Linked DNA regions of Lonchura striata. The main gene of each other region encodes a partner of the protein of the gene in region 2 in a complex. Links are inferred from orthologs where the notes say so. Each region holds a gene or a part of one and is shown on either strand. Other genes may lie near its edges. The genes, in order: BRF2 and BDP1.

Region 1 (8,017 bases), on a different chromosome or scaffold from region 2:
AGCCCTGGCCTGGGGAGTCCTTATTCACAGAGTCCTTATCCAGGGAGCCCTGGCTCACAGAGTCCTGCCCTGGGCAGCCCTGGCTCACAGAGTCCTTATCCAGGGAGTCCTGGCTCACAGAGTCCTGCCCTGGGGAGTCCTTATTCAGGGAGTCCTTATCTGGGGAGCCTGGGCTCACAGAGTCCTTGCCCGAGCACCTCTGGCTCCCAGAGTCTTGGCCTGGGCAGCCCTGGCCTGGGGAGTCCTGGCTCAGAGAGTCTTTATCCAGGGAGCCCTGGCTCCCAGAGCCCTGGCCCGGGGCCGTGTCCTGCTGGCCCTGCCCGTCCTGCTGGCTGAAGGCGCGTTTCAGCAGGAAGAGCCGGTGCTGCAGCAGGTCCCCGATGTGCTTCACCACCGTTCTCTTGTCCAAGCAGAAGGCACGCAGCCAGGAGAGCTGGGAGGCCATTCCCAGCAGGATGTCCAGCAGCTCGGCCAGCCGGAGGTGGGCCGGGGGGGGCAGGTCCACCCCTGCCAGGCGGCAGAACCGCGCCAAGGGGCAGCGCAGGCGCGGGCCGGGCCGCAGCGACTGCCAGGCCAGGAAGGCCGCGGCCGTCACCAGGGGCACGGGGTGCCGGCCGGTCACCAGCCACGTCTCGCTGGCCAGCTCCACGATGGCCAAGGTGCGGGCCAGCAGCTGCTCCTTGTCCTCCAGGAAGGGCGCGGGGACGCTGGCCGTGGGCTGCACCAGCCGGAAGCTGCGGGGGCGAAGGGGCTGTGCTCAGGGGTGTGGGATTTTTTAAATCAGAGGGGTTTGGGAGTGTTGTAAAAGGCAGGCTTTAGAGACAGCAGGATGGTGATTAGAGCTAAGCAGTAGCTATAAGATTTGTCAGCAGAACAATTATACAAGAAGTAGAAAGAAAGGATAAATAGAGCAATGGTCTGTGTATTAACACTTGGGTAGAATAACTCTAAGTTGTAGAAAAGTATCTCTGGTGAGATATTAAGAAGTTTTAAGCTTAATAATGGAGCTCTGTGCATTGTATCTTAAGGCTTATAAGTAAGTATTGTATTTGAAACCAGGAAGCATTATTTTAACCAAAGGTACGTGTGTTTATGGTGGTTAGGTAAAACTACTGTCATTATGTTTTTGTTTTGTGTGATTGGTCAAAAAGCTTTTAAAGCAAATTGTAATATTAAGTTCTTAGTCTGCTGCCTAGGATGTGAGCTGCTGGCACCTTCCCATTGCCATAATCATGTAATGAGATTGATGCTGGGAAATAAACAGCTCGAGATGTGTTCCACAGCAGTCCCGTCCCGTTGGTGATTTGTGCACAGCCCCCAGCCAGCGATAAGGGGGAGCCTCGGGGACAAACACACCCTGCTCCTGCCCTGGCTGCCACTCCTGGACACCAGGAGCAGTTTTTTATGGGAAGGGTTCTCTGGGGGAAGGGGTGGAGTCCCCATCCCTGGAGGTGGCACTCCGTGCTCTGGGCTGGGTGACAAGGTGGGCACCGGGCACGGGCTGGACTCAACAGCTTCAGAGATTCTTTCCAGCCCCAGAGATCCTGGATCCCATGATCCATGGTGCCCCCGAGCCCCCTCTGCCCTCTCCACACTGAGAATCACAGCCCAGGTGTGACATGGAGGGACAAAAGCCAGCCCAGCCTGAGCACACACCTGTGCCACAGCTCAGCCCTGCCCACGGCCACACCCCAGCCCCTCCATCCAGCCAGGCTAAACAAGGGCCCCAAAGCCCCTCTCACCTGTTCAGGTGCGTTGTCACCAGGTCTGCCAGGCTCAGGGCGGGCACCGAGAGCCCCAGCTCCCGCTGCAGGCTCAGGAAGACGCTGGCAAACAGCTCCTGCCGGGCGTAGAGCAGGGAGCACACGGTGCCCATGGTCAGGGGCCAGCGGTGCTGGCGGCACGCCACGAACACGCAGCAGCCTCCCAGCAGCTCCTTCTTCTCCAGGCTGACCAGGTGGAAGGCGGGGAGCTGCAGAGCCCTCTGGAAGTAGGACACGGCCATTTCCTCGAATACAGCCGGCAGCTGCAGCACCTTGCAGAGGTCCTGGACCCTCCGGATCCCTGCGGGGTCACACTCGGAGTGAGGAAGTCCAGCAGACAACACTCACCCAGCCCGAACTAAAGCCCCTCCCAGGCCCTCAGGGCAGGCAGCACCAAGTGCCCTCCCCCGGCTCAGCTCCAGGGGTTTGGGGCACTTTTTCACCACTAGAACCAGGTGAAACAACTGGAGCGGCAGGCAGAGAGGAGGGGGGGTCAGGAGCTGCTCTCACCTCGCTGCAGGCAGCGGCTCAGCTGCTCCTTCTGGCCAGTGCTCTGGGAATAGGCGACCTCTGGAAAACAGGGGTGGATCAGTCAGTCCTGAGGGGAATCCAGGCACAGAGACATGGATCTGGGGCCAGCAGATGCCCACAGAACCGGACTGCAACGACCAGAACTGTCTGAGGGCGCTGAGTTAGAGCAGCACAGGTAAAAGCGAGCTCTTGGATCTCCTCTGAGCTGGGAATTCCCTCCAGACAGAGCCAGGCAACGGCCTCGGGGCTGCCCCGCTGCCTTTAAAGCTCTTCTAAGAGATTTCAATGGGATTCTAATAATCTCTTTTGACAATAAGAGATCCTCCAGTTTAAATTCAAAGCTCATCACCGGCTCCAAGCCAGACCCTGTCCGGGAAGTGCTGCGGGTGTGCCCCGGGCTGGAAAACCCCGCTGGTGCTGGGGGATGGAGGGAGCGGGAGCGGCCGGCCTGAGCCGCGAGTGCCCGGCACGGCCCCTCCGAACACAGCTCGGGGAGCGCTTCGCTTCTCGCACCGGCTCGGAAAGGCCCAAACGAGCCGCGGACCGTCGGTCCTGCACCCCCACCCCGAGCGCGGACGCTCCCGGGTCCGGTGCCGCACCCCGCAGATGCTCCTCGTCGGTGTAGGTGGTGGTGAGGAGCCCCTCGGACAGGACGCAGCCGCAGGAGGCGCAGACCAGCTGCTGCTGCGCGTAGTGCGCGTCCTCCACCAGCGACGCCGACCCGCACTCGGGGCACCGGCCCCGCGCCGCCATCGCCGCCGCCGCGCTGGGGGAGCGCTGGGGCGGGCGCACCGCCAACAGCCAATAGCGGCGCGGCCCGCCCCGAGCCCACCAATAGCGGCGCGGCCCGCCCCGAGCCCACCAATAGCGGCGCCGCCCGCGGTCCGTCCCGGCGCCCGCCCGGCCGAGGCGCCGCCGGCGCGCGCTGCGTTCCGGCCGGGACGGCGGCCCCGGGCAGCGCGGGGAGCGGCAGCGGGGGGGCCGCGTCCTCCCGGCGGGGAACGGGAAGCAGCGCGGCGCGGAGCCCCAGGGCCCCCATGGCACCGGGGGGGCCGCGTCCTCCCGGCGGGGAACGGGAAGCAGCGCGGCGCGGAGCCCCAGGGCTCCCATGGCACCGGGGAGGCCGCGTCCTCCCGGCGGGGAACGGGAAGCACCGCGGCGCGGAGCCCCAGGGCCCCCAGGGCCCCCTCCCGTCCGCGGCGCAGCGCGAGGCCGGCGCTGCCGTGAGGGCAGAAACTCCCGGCGCTGCAGCTGCGGACCCGCCCGTCCGTCAGGCTCCCCCACCCCGCGAGGGGTTTGCAGGCAGCACCGGATGGCGCAGGGATGACAGCAGGCCGGAACGCCGGGAGCAGGATGAGCAGAGGCACGAGGAGGGGATAAAACCCTTCTAAACTCCAGAGCAAAGACACGGTGGCCAGAGCACTGCGTTTGAGGTGTCTTTATTGTAGTGTTCCGTAAAACCAAAAGGTGTCTAAAAACAGCAGCTGGGCTAAAAGCAGGGAGTACAAACAGGGAACATGCATTGGATCCTTCAATAATAAACAATACATTTGGTTCTTAAGGCCCTTGAGGATGTAAAATGCCAGTCCCCTCACACCAAAGGCTTTAACGAGTGTTGACAATATAAACGAGGCTGGAGGGCTGGGCGACGTTTTTGGGGCTGGGCAAGTGGAGAACTGTGAGCCCCCCGTGCCCCAGCCATGGGTCTGCTCAGGGAGAGGTGCCACAGCTGCAGCCCCTGGGACAGAGGAGCCCTGGGGAGCTGGCACCCATGGCTGGGGCTGCCACGGCACCCACGGGAGCTGGCACCCACGGCTGGGGCTGCCACGGCACCCATGGGAGTGACACCCATGGCTGGGGCTGCCACGGCACCCACGGGAGCTGGCACCCACGGCTGGGGCTGCCACGGCACCCATGGGAGTGACACCCACGGCTGGGGCTGCCATGACACCCATGGCTGGGGCTGCCGCTGTCCCAAGCATTAAGGCTTCGTCTCTGCTAAGAGCATAACATTATTTCTTTTATGAACAATAATATTATTTATTGCTTTGGTTCTGTGCAGGTCACTCTTCCCAGCGGAGAAAAAATCTAAAATACAAGTTTATCAGTGAGGTACAGGATCCTCTGTCCAGAGATCCACAGAGGCACGAGGAGGAAACAAATCAATCCTTCATCTTCCTCGCTCGAGAAGGCACAGGAGGCAGCAGCAGCTCCAGCAAGGCCAGGCACAGCACTCAGAATGAAACCACCACCAAGGCTGCCTTCACTCAGAGCAGAGGGCACAGCAGAAAGCAGAGAACGCCCTCACTGTTCAAATAACACTAAAATGAGACAAAAGTACCTGAAGTCTTGCAAGACTCAGCTCCTAAGGCTTGTTTGAGGTCAGGCTGCCCATGAGGGACAGCTCTGCCAGTAAAGCTCCAGACTTTGGTAGCAGGGATAACCAGGATAAAAATGCCATTACAGAATTTCTTTGATTTTTCTAATAAATGTTTACATCTCTGTGCAAATCTATCAAACTGCTCCTCACTACATAATACAGCATTTGAGATCTGCAGTGGTGTGTGACATTGTAAGCAGACTGCTCACAGGGTGAGAGTCCTTCCAGCTGCTCCAGTCCCTCAATAAAGTGCTTTCCTGTAGAGAAATGGAGTTAGAAACTCACCCCTGAGCCAGGAGTGACCCAATAACCCAACAACTTCCAAAGGCAGGAGTGTTTATTTCCATAGAATTCGGGCTGGAAAGCTTGAAGCTTTGCTCCTCATGAAGCTTTGGTCCTTTGCAGGGCTCTGTTGGTTTTCCAGTTTCCCTCTAAGCCTTTCATGGACTCTTCCTGCCCTGGCAAATCCCAGGGGTCCCAAAAGGCATCTGCTGTTTTGGTCTCTGCCAAGAGCTCAGCAAACAAAGCTCTGTTCAGTCTGCAGCAGGGGAAGCTGTGCTGGCTGCTCCCCCAGCCTGACTGAGGGGATGGGGAGAACTCCCCTGAGCCCACCAGGACCCCCAGAGCTCTGGGCTGTGCAGCACCCCCAGCCTGACTGAGGGGATGGGGAGAACTCCCCTGAGCCCACCAGGACCCCCAGAGCTCTGGGCTGTGCAGCACCCCCAGCCCCCTCAGCCACTCAAGACTCTCCTCCCCAGGGAGCAGCAAGGAGCCAGAGCAGGGGGGAGCCCCAGCCCTGCCTGCACTGACAGCAGGAGCACTGCAAGGCTCCTCACCTTGGGAGGGCCCTCAAGGTGAGCCCCAGCTCCAAACCCCAAGGAATTTCTGTTCCCTCCGTGCAGTGTGAAAGGGAAATGGTCACAGAGCTCCCACGGGGCACAAAGTGGGAGAGCAGAGCACAGGGCAGTCTCTGCCCGCTCTGAACAGCCTCCAGAGCAGAAATTTAAGACACTAAGAGCAAAACTTCTGATTTAAAATGTACCTCAGGCCTAAATCCATTGGTGCCATTCCTGTGGTAGAAACGTACCGTGGACCTCAATGTCTCCTACTCCAAAAAACCTGTCAACTTTCCCTTGAAGGACTCTTGGGAATGTCCACTCGATGAGATGAACTGAGATTTGGTCAGCTTATGGTCAACTTTCATTCCTTTCAAATTACAGCCCAGGTCCGAAGCTGGGCCATCTTTGGACTTATCCAGTGTAGTTAATTATTATTTTAAAAACAATCAAATCCTCAAGCTCTACTGTACAAGGATTCATATTGCACTACAACTTCAGATGTGGAAAAAAAAGTAACTGATCTCTAAAAGCTGCTACAAAACAAAACCATTTAAAAAAATCATCCTAAAGGATCATCAGCGCCTTGCTGGGAAGCAAAACACAACAAAAACCCTCCTCCTTCCCATCACAACCAGTCTTTGGATTAATGCCTGACCTCCCCAAATAATGGGAAGGAAAAAAAAAATAAATATGGTAAGGTGACTGCATGACAACACCTGATGGAACTATTAATCAATCAAGGGTTGCTCAAGGCAGAAACAGGAAAAGGTCATTTTCTGTGAGCAGCACACCCAGCACCACCAGCTCCTCACCCTCCTCTGGGGGAATTCAGTCCTTGCCCACCGACGCCCCCAGACCCTTCACATCTTCCCAGCTTTTCTGTTGCCAGACATGGAAACACGGAGGATGTTTGGGGTTTCTTCCATGACTCTGACAAGCAGGTTGTCGATGTAGTCCTCGAGCTCCCGCACCTGGAGGTCCTTCCTGGTAATGGTATCCTTCTGTTTCAGCACCAGCTGGATCAGCTCATCGTGTGTCAGCTGAGCATAGGCATAGGCAGGGTCTGAGGGATCGTATTTCTTGGGAGGGAGGGAGGGAAGGCAGGGTCAGAGCAGGCACAGGACATTCCAAACCAGACACACAACACACAGACCAGCACGGTGACAGCTGCTGCCAAACAAACCTGGTAAAGCTTAAAACAGCTGCTTCAGTGCACTCTGGGAAAGCCAAATTCATGGTAAACAGCACAAAATGCCCACCCAGGCCTTTGCTGTTTCTTCCCATTCCTTTGGAAAATCTGGTTTTAAACCTCACACAGCATGAGAGGTACTGGGCAGCTTCTGCTGATTCCTCCAGCTCCCAGAACACTGCCCAGGCAGGGAGAGTGAGCACAACAGGCCCCCGTGGGGCATCGCACACAATTTAGGTGGAATCAGAACACCACAACACCCACTGCAAGTTTTCAACCCCCTTGAAACAGCAGCGTGGCAGTTTGAATCACTGAACTCCCATCCCCTCCCCTCTCACCAGAAGGAGGCACTGCTGTTATTTCAGTTCTAACTTCCCTATTTCCCAAAAAAACCCTGACAGACCATAAGGGGAGCCGTGATTTTCCCTGCTGACCCGGGGATGCTCCCAGCCTTTCGGATCAGGGAAGCTGTGCCTCAAGCCTGGAGGTCTCTCTTGAGACCAGGATTATGCTGAGAGCTCCTCTCAGTCCCAATGCTGACCCAGCTGCACGACTGTGCTCCAAGGAAGTGGCTGTGCCTGAGAAGCGCCCCCAAAAACACGAGCCCGGCTCTCTTATAGGTCAGTCTGCAAGAAAATAAGCATTTAAGGAACGATCCCACTCTTGAGGGCTGACCAAAAGGATGTTCCTGGCCCAGCTATCTGGAATACACAAACTCTTCAATTAAATCAAAGCTTGGGCAGTCAAAGTGCCACTTCCCTCCATACCTTCACACTCATTTCCAGCAGCTTTTCATTCATGGTGCTGATGACATTCAAGTTCTTGCTCTGAGGCTTGTTAGCCATGGCATTCATTGGCTTCACAGGATGGAGTCTGCAACAGGAAAAAAAGGGTCCTGCTGTTCAGGCAGAAGAGGTAACAGCAGCATGACATAGATCTTTAGATTGAGAACAAATACAGCAAGAAATTGGGGACAATTCCCTCCCTGCTCTATGTCCTGACAGAAAAGAAATTCAGTTTAAAGAAGACAAGGTATTTCTAAGCCACAGGGGTTTTGTAAGTATTTTCCAGTTCTCTACTATCTTTATTGACTTAAGGCATTGGAGATAAAGCAGCAGCAGGAAGGAAAATACATCCTCTGTGTGTCATGGAAGAAAAGCCAGGTCAGGCTACACGAGGAGACAGAACACGGGGCAGCTACTCTCATCCCTCAGAAACTGGTATTTCAGCCTGACTTTCCTAATCAGAACATAGTTGTGATCTTACAACATACCAAATACTTCTGCTGTCCTGAGACAAGTGCTATGCCATGTCC
Region 2 (7,426 bases):
AATCCCTGTGAAGAAAAAAACAGCTGGATATCAGATACTGGCTCACAATTTTTCTAAGCAGAGTTCCCTCCATTTAGTAAACTCCACCTGAAAAAGGAAAAAAAGAATTTCTCAGCCACAAACAGTCTTTTTATTACCCTGGTTTTTTAGTGCATGTATTCCATGAGGCAGACAATTTACTTGATTAGTGGACCTGATATAATTATTTTGATTTTAGAAGTAAAGGACATAATGGATCAAATATCTTCAAGAAAGCATTACACAATCTTTTCCTGTTTGCAGTAGGCAAAAAGCTGGTCAAAAAAATGAGAAAGCTTTACAGGATGTAATAAAAATACATCTGTTTAATAGCAGATACAGCAAAATTTAATCCACAGTTTATGCTCTGGCAAGTGATTAGCCAACAAATAAAAACAAAGCATTCAAATGCTGTGTCAGCTAAGACACTGGATTCTTTCTCACCCATGTCCCTCTCTCCTTTTTCAGCCTAAACATTTACTCAATTTTTCTAGACCTTACCTCTGTTTCCTCTGAGAAGCAGACAAGCTATCTTCTTTCCTTTTGCCTTTGTGGATCTCCTGAGTTTTCTTCAGGTTCTTTTGGCGAGCAAGTTCACGCTGGTTCCCACCTGCAAGATAATATAAACAAGTACTACCACTTGTTTTTTCCCACACAATGTACTTGTATAAAAGTCTGTTGTAAAGGCAGTGCAGTTTGGCATAATGTATAGAGCTGGTATGGCCATATCTTCTATCTTGGTGTCCTCTCCCAGTGTACAACAGGAGAAATTAAAGGCTCATAGTTGTTACTTTTTCAATTCTATGTCATGTTTAAGAAATTACCAAAATTCTAATATTCCTTACAGAAACAAAATGTAGTTTGTCATAAAAGGCTGAAGGAAAACCATCACACCAATAGGCTGGACAAAATCATCCAAAGACAAGTCATCCACTCTGAAACACATTCCAGCATTCAATATAGCTTACAAATTATTTTAGACTGAAAGAACAGCATTGAAATTGACTGCACTCAAATACTATTGAAGAGATGACCTCAAAAGGTTTTTTTAATTTGAAATACAGTACAGAACATAAGCCTGGGCCTTAGCAACTGGATGGTGGTGGCATTACTTCCAACAAAAGTGAGAAGAGTAACATTACTTCTTTATGCATATCAAGACACAAACCCACATGACTGTCAGCAGAGAAGACACTTCTTCAGGGAACAGACAGCTTTCCCCACAACTAACTATCAACAAGAGGAAAGCAAGCTCTTTGATCACACTAAGTTCCCGAGGGCACAACATCAAATTATCGACTCTCCATCTAAATACTTAGGGTCTTCAGGCAATGGCCACAGACTGCAAACTCTTCTGCATTAGCTGGCAATCTCTCCTCAGTATTCCCTTCCTTTGCTCTATTTTGCACCTGCCAGACCTGGTTCACTGGCTTGGTACTACTTCTTCTAGTTCTTTTGGAGTGACAGTGTTCCAGATATGCTACACATAATCATTTGTTCTGTTGAACTAACACAATCACATTCTTTTATACTCAAAAATTACAATTCCCTCTCTTCATAATTTTTTGTCTCTCTAAATTAGTTTTAAGACTGTCTGGGCCATCTTTCAGTCTCAAAGGCAGCAATCTCAGCCTTGAGGTGCCTGTCATTTCTGGTCTACCACTGCTTCTTAGGAATAGGCCACTTTTAAACAACAACAACCTGCTGGTATGATCCACCACTTTGTACCCACACCATTTCTGAGCAAAGGTACCTCAAGATGAACTCTGCAGAAGCAGGGGTTTGTGCATTCTCCACAAGAGCCTATGGACTGCCTGATAAGACATGCCAGAAGCTCAAGTAAAAACAGTCCTGTATGACTGCTGCTTCCCAAAAGATGCTCTTGTATTGGAAGATAACTTTTGTCTGTGACAGGACATTAAGTACTACCTCTTGGAAAAGGTAGAGAACTAAGACAACTTCTACTCACGATCCTCACTAGCATCCTGTCCCCAAAGTCCATCTAGAAGAAGGGCAGCTGTCTGTTCAGAGACTGAAGCAAACCAGCTGTCTCTGGCAGTACTAGTGTTGATTAGAACTTGATGACTCATGAGCAGATGACACATTCCAGGCCATAAATGGCTCCTGAGATTTGTGGTGCTCAGGAGGCAAGAACGTTATATGAAGGACTGGGGAGCAATGAAAGAACTTTTCTACAGTGCTTAAAAAAAAAAAAAAAACCCAAAAAAAAAAAAAAAAAAAAACAACACCACCAACAGCCCCAAAACAAAAAATCACCCCAAAACGAGAAGTATCTTCTTTTATCATGAAGAAAACAGAAACAAAATAAAAACAGTCTGCTAAAGCCAGAATTACCTTCAAAGACAAACACTTCCTTATGAGCAGTTAATTTCCACTCTTAAACTCCTATTTTTCCTTGTTTTCAAGCAAATAGTGAGCATGGGCTATGTAGAGTTTTTCCTTACACACGGTAAGGTTTTAAATTTAGGAACAGAACTCAGTTGTACCACTGAAAAGCAGGTAGCACAGCAAAGCAGAGAAGGTAGAAAAGCTGAGCAATATATAATGCATACAAACCACGGAATACCAAAAAACTGAAGAAAAACTTACTTCTACCATAAGTGCTTCCAAGTAAACATTGCCAAGGACTATTTGGCCCCATTACTTCATCTGGGATGCTGCATAAGTGTCCCTACCTTCAAGGGAACCACTGGCGTTTCCTACATTCTGTAATATCAAGCTAAATATTCTATGAAATTGTCCTAACAGAACACAATTCAGCTTCCTGAAATTCAAGCTTGAACTGCCACAAAAAGAGCAGTGCACTCTTCCTGCTTATACATTTCTATACATTCCTTCTCAACCATCCCATCCTGTCCTGCTTGTGCAAAACATAGACCTTACTTCAACCTGTCCTTGCTCTTCCAACTTCAGGAGAAGAAAAACGCCACGAAGAATCCTAAATGTGCTTCTTTATTACGTTCTATGCACAAACTTTGTGTTACAGGTCTTCAGCAGCAGTATGCCCTCATAACCGTGTATTTTCGAGATGAATTGAAAGCACAGCCTCAAAATTGGTTTTTTTCAAATGAATGTGAAAGCACAACCAAAATTAAACACGAGGATTTCCTGTACCGCCAGACATAACAGGCAGAAGGCACAGGAGCACTCCCCGCAGCCAGGGGAGCCAGAGCATCCTGGGTCACCTCTCCGCCATTTCAGAGCGGGTGTGCGAACACTGCTGTTGGTCAGCATTCAGCACGGTGGCGATTCACCGAGCGCTCTTGCCCTTTCAACAACAGCCTCAACCACCACAGGTTAAAGCAGCATAGTATTCAATATTCAGCACAGATAGTAAAGCCCTCTATTCTCAGACTGGGCGGCAGCCGGAAATGAAATGGAGTGTGGCTGTTGTTTCAGCCCAACATTACCTTAATTTCTCCCCCCGGTCCCGCCTCCACTGACACGCCAGAAGGCGGAGGAGGATGTTTTCCCCTCCAGCTTCGGAAGGCAGCAGGACATGGGAAAAAAACTCCTCCTCACGCACTCGCTACAGGCGACATTTCGCTGGTGGGACGCCAAGTCCGCAAAGAGCCGGACGCGACATTGGCCTCACACAGCGGCTGACTTCCATACCGCGGCCCAGGCACGACCCCCAGCCGGACCGCCCTCGGCGTCGCGCCCCACAGCTGGAACCGACCAGGAGGGCGGCTCAAGTCCTGTCGCCCACTTCGCCACCCGACAGTCCTAAACAGCTCCCCAGTACTCACGGGTCATAGCGAGACGCTCAGGCCGCGCAGCGCCGCTACGCCTCCGACCGCTAGCACCGGCCAAACTCGACCCTCCTCCGCCCCTACCACCGCAGCGGTCTGAGGCGGCGCCGCCGCCGCCGCACCTTATGGCGCCTCGCTGGCCGTGATGTCACGGCGCCGCGCGGGCCCGGCCCAATCAGCGGGACGCGCACCGCTGACCCCGCCCCGCGGGCAGGAGCCCTGCGAGGCTCGTGCTGCGCGTCCTGCCGGGCCCGAGTGTGAGGGGGAAGGGGGGGGGGGGGCTGTGGTGTGGCAGCCTGGGCTGGGGGCAGAGCGGGCGCCTGGACAGCTGCTGGGAGCCGGCTGAACTGGGGCCACGCGGCTGAGCAGTTGCTGGGGCCTTACAGGCGGCTACGGCGCCGTTACTGCTTCCCCGTAGAGGCTCCGCCTCCCGCCCCTCATCTCGCGATGGGTGCGGGCTGATGACGGTGCGGGGCGCGCCGCCGGGGCGGCACGCCGTGAGCCGGCCGGGCTCGCGGCACCCGCGGGCCCTCGCCGCCGCGCGCTGCTGACGCCGCCGAGCTCGCGGGCGGGCGCGTCTCCCGCGAGCGCCCGGCGCGCCCGTCTCCCGGAGCCGCCGCCATGTTCCGGCGGGCCCGTCTCACCGTGCGGCCCAACGTGCGCCCCCCGGGCAGAGCCGCCGCCGCTGGCGCGGTGGACCCCGAGCCGGCGGAACCCCCAGGCTCGGACACCCCGGCGGCGGACGGAGCAGGGACCGCGGCGGAATCGACGGGCGCGCGGCGGGAAGAGAGGTGAGTCCCGCCGAGCTCGCCCTAGCAGGGCAGTGTGTGGGGCCGCCGGCGGCACTGGGCCGCGGATTCCCGGGAGCGGGACGGGCCTGTGCAGGGCCGGACCCGGCGCATCCCCGGAGCTGGCGGTGGCTCTGCGTAGCGCCGGTTGTCGTGGCCCGTCGCCGCCTGGTTTCAGTGCTATGACAGGGCGCTGGCTCGGCCTGAAGACCTCGTGCAAGACGCGTACGGTCGGTGCCCGATGACGGCGTGTCCAGGGTTGTCAGACAATGTTGTTTGGCGCCTTCGTAGACTAAGAAACCGCCGTTTCTTCACTGCAGTTGTGCAGCAGGTGCTTGGAATAACATTGCATTGGGCTGCCCAGAGAGGTGGTGCAGTCACCATCCTTAGAGGTGTTTAAGGAAAGACTGGACATGGCATGTAGTGCTGTGGTCTGGTTGACAAGGTGGTGTTGAGTCATAGGTTGGACTCTACGATCTCGAGGTGTTTTCCAGCAAAATGGCTCCTGTGATTCTGTAAGTGAAGACTGCAAAGGAGGAACCCAGTGTGGTCCGATACTCCTTACTTCTAGCTCCACAGCAGCCAGGAGCCATGATTTGCTGTGTGCAGCAAAAATTCTTTGTGCTCTGTAACCAGATGAGTTTGATTTTGCATTCCAACAGCATTTTCTCTTTTGTGTTCATTTCTTTATGAATTGGCAAGGGAGGACTTTCCTTTTGGTTTTTTTTGAGTTAGTTTTTTTGCGGTTTTTTTGTGGGTTTTTTTTTTTTTTTTTTTGCTATTTTTAGAGGTTTTTAAGGGCTTTTTAATGTGATGGAAGCACATGGTAAAGTTGGCCTTAGGACTGGCTCTCCCTGAGGACCTCTCTGCTGTAGGTTAAGCCTAGCTGGTTACTAAACCCCGCACAGTTTATTGCTTGCTTCCCCACACCCCTGCCCCTCCCAGCCTGGTGGGATGGGCAGAAAATCAAAACGGCAAAAGTTCAAGAAAAGGTGTGTTATGATAAAGACAGTTCAATTACCTGGGCATGTAAGCAAAGCAGAACTGGGGATTCAGTCACCACTACCCACAGGTATTTAATTGTCTCCAGGAAAGAAGGGATCCATCACTCATAACAGGTACTTGGGAAGACAAATGCCATAACTCCAAATGTCCTTTCTTTCTTCTTCTCCTAGCTTTTACTGAGGAGCATGATGCCATATGCTGTGGGATAGCCCTCAGTCTTCTGAGATCAGCTGTCCTGGCTGTGCCCCCTCCCAATTTCTTTCTGATTCCCAGAATGGACAGCCATGGTGCATTGTGAGAAATAACCCTGGTGCTGCATGATCATTGCTCAGCATTAGCTGAAAGCATGGGTGTGCTGTCAGCACTGTTGTGTCACAAATCTGAAACAGCAACATCAGAGCTACTGTGAAGGAAGTTAATTCTGTCCCCACCAAAGGTAGTACAGATCAGTGTTTCAGGACATGTCCTTAATCTGATAATTGTTCTTCAGAACAACATTCACACTTCTTTTTTACAGTTGGGTTTGAGTCTTTCATAAATCCTTTTATTCTTTTAGTTGAAGGTTGCCCATTATGACAGTATGATGAAACAGTGTTAATGTTGTCTGTTTCTGTGGTTGGAAATTCAGGTGTCAGACTAGTTGGCATGGCATGTCTTTAGGAAACCCATACCATGTTTTATTCAATTGGTATTTTACATCTTTACTTGTTTTGCATTTTGTTTCAAGAGTGCCATTCTTTCAAGTTTTATTTATAAAATGTTTATGTTACAGGGATCATCTTACTGGATGTTTTGTTATCTGATTTTTTTAAAATGAAGAAATTTTTATGATTTTTCACTTAGATGCTACTGTTGTTGTTTCAGCAGATTTGTAAAAGACTTTTGTGTTCGTAATTTAACAGGTGCATCAGTGTAATATAATTTTAAGTTTCAAAACTAGGTATTGGTGTGACTCTGAAAGGCACTTTGATCTAGTTTCATGGTCTAAAAATAGGTCTTTGCCATATAGCCTTCTGACAGGGTAGCCCACCTAGCTGACCTGGGGAAACCAGTTCCTGTAATCCTTTTGGATTTCAGTAGAACTTTCCATATTGGCTCTCACACTATCCTTCCTTCTTGACAAAACATCCAGCACACACCTGGATGAACGCATCATGTGATGTGTGAGCAACAGGTTCATGGGTTGGGTTACAATGAATGGGTGACATCAGACTGGTGACCTGTCACTGGTGGGGTTCCACAGGGCTCCATCCTCTGCTCTTCAACAGCTTCATAAATGACTGGACACTGGTTTCGAAGGCATATTAAGTAAGTTTGGTACATGATACAAAATGGCCCTGCAGGGAGACCTCAACAAATTAAGAGGGCTGGGCAAACACTGGCCATATGAAGTTCAAAAAGGGAAAGTGCCAGATTCTATACCTGGGATGGGGCAACCCTGAATGTGTGGACAGACTGGGGAACAAATGACTGGAGGAAAATGACTTGAGGGTCCCGGTCAGTGGCAAGCTCAACATGAGTCAGCAGTGCCCTGGCAGCCAGAAGGGCGACCTGTGTCCTGGGGTGCATCAGGCAAAGCATCACAGCCAGGCAAGATTGTCCTCCTCTGCTCTGCCGTGGGGCTGCCTCACAGGCAGTGAGTGCTGGGGGCAGTTTTGGGTATAAGAAAAACATTGAGCTGTTAGAGAGCATCCAAAGAGGGGCAGCAAAGATGGTGAAGGGCCTTGAGGTGAAGTCAGATGAGGAGTGGCTGAGGTCATTTGGTCTGTTCAGCCTGGAGGAGACTTAGGGGAGACCACTTTGTAATCTACAACTTCTTCATGAGGGGAAGTGGAGGGGCAG

The links.
Region 1: BDP1 (region 2) and BRF2 share a complex: the UniProt entries of both Homo sapiens proteins name them as parts of the TFIIIB complex. The link is inferred for Lonchura striata from reciprocal best matches to the Homo sapiens genes BDP1 and BRF2.

The regions. Positions count from the first base shown.
Region 1 is NC_134634.1:4,325,771-4,333,787, forward strand, and holds the start of BRF2 (transcription factor IIIB 50 kDa subunit), read right to left. Parts: upstream 3,060-8,017; 5' UTR 3,048-3,059; coding exon 2,894-3,047; intron 2,334-2,893; coding exon 2,274-2,333; intron 2,065-2,273; coding exon 1,743-2,064; intron 735-1,742; coding exon 1-734. Other genes in the region: RAB11FIP1 (rab11 family-interacting protein 1), read right to left, coding at 6,374-6,592, 7,470-7,575. UniProt on the Homo sapiens protein: General activator of RNA polymerase III transcription. Factor exclusively required for RNA polymerase III transcription of genes with promoter elements upstream of the initiation sites.
Region 2 is NC_134642.1:47,132,313-47,139,738, forward strand, and holds the start of BDP1 (transcription factor TFIIIB component B'' homolog), read left to right. Parts: upstream 1-4,392; 5' UTR 4,393-4,412; coding exon 4,413-4,582; intron 4,583-7,426. Other genes in the region: SERF1A (small EDRK-rich factor 1), read right to left, coding at 1-5, 520-628, 3,789-3,795. UniProt on the Homo sapiens protein: General activator of RNA polymerase III transcription. Requires for transcription from all three types of polymerase III promoters. Requires for transcription of genes with internal promoter elements and with promoter elements upstream of the initiation site.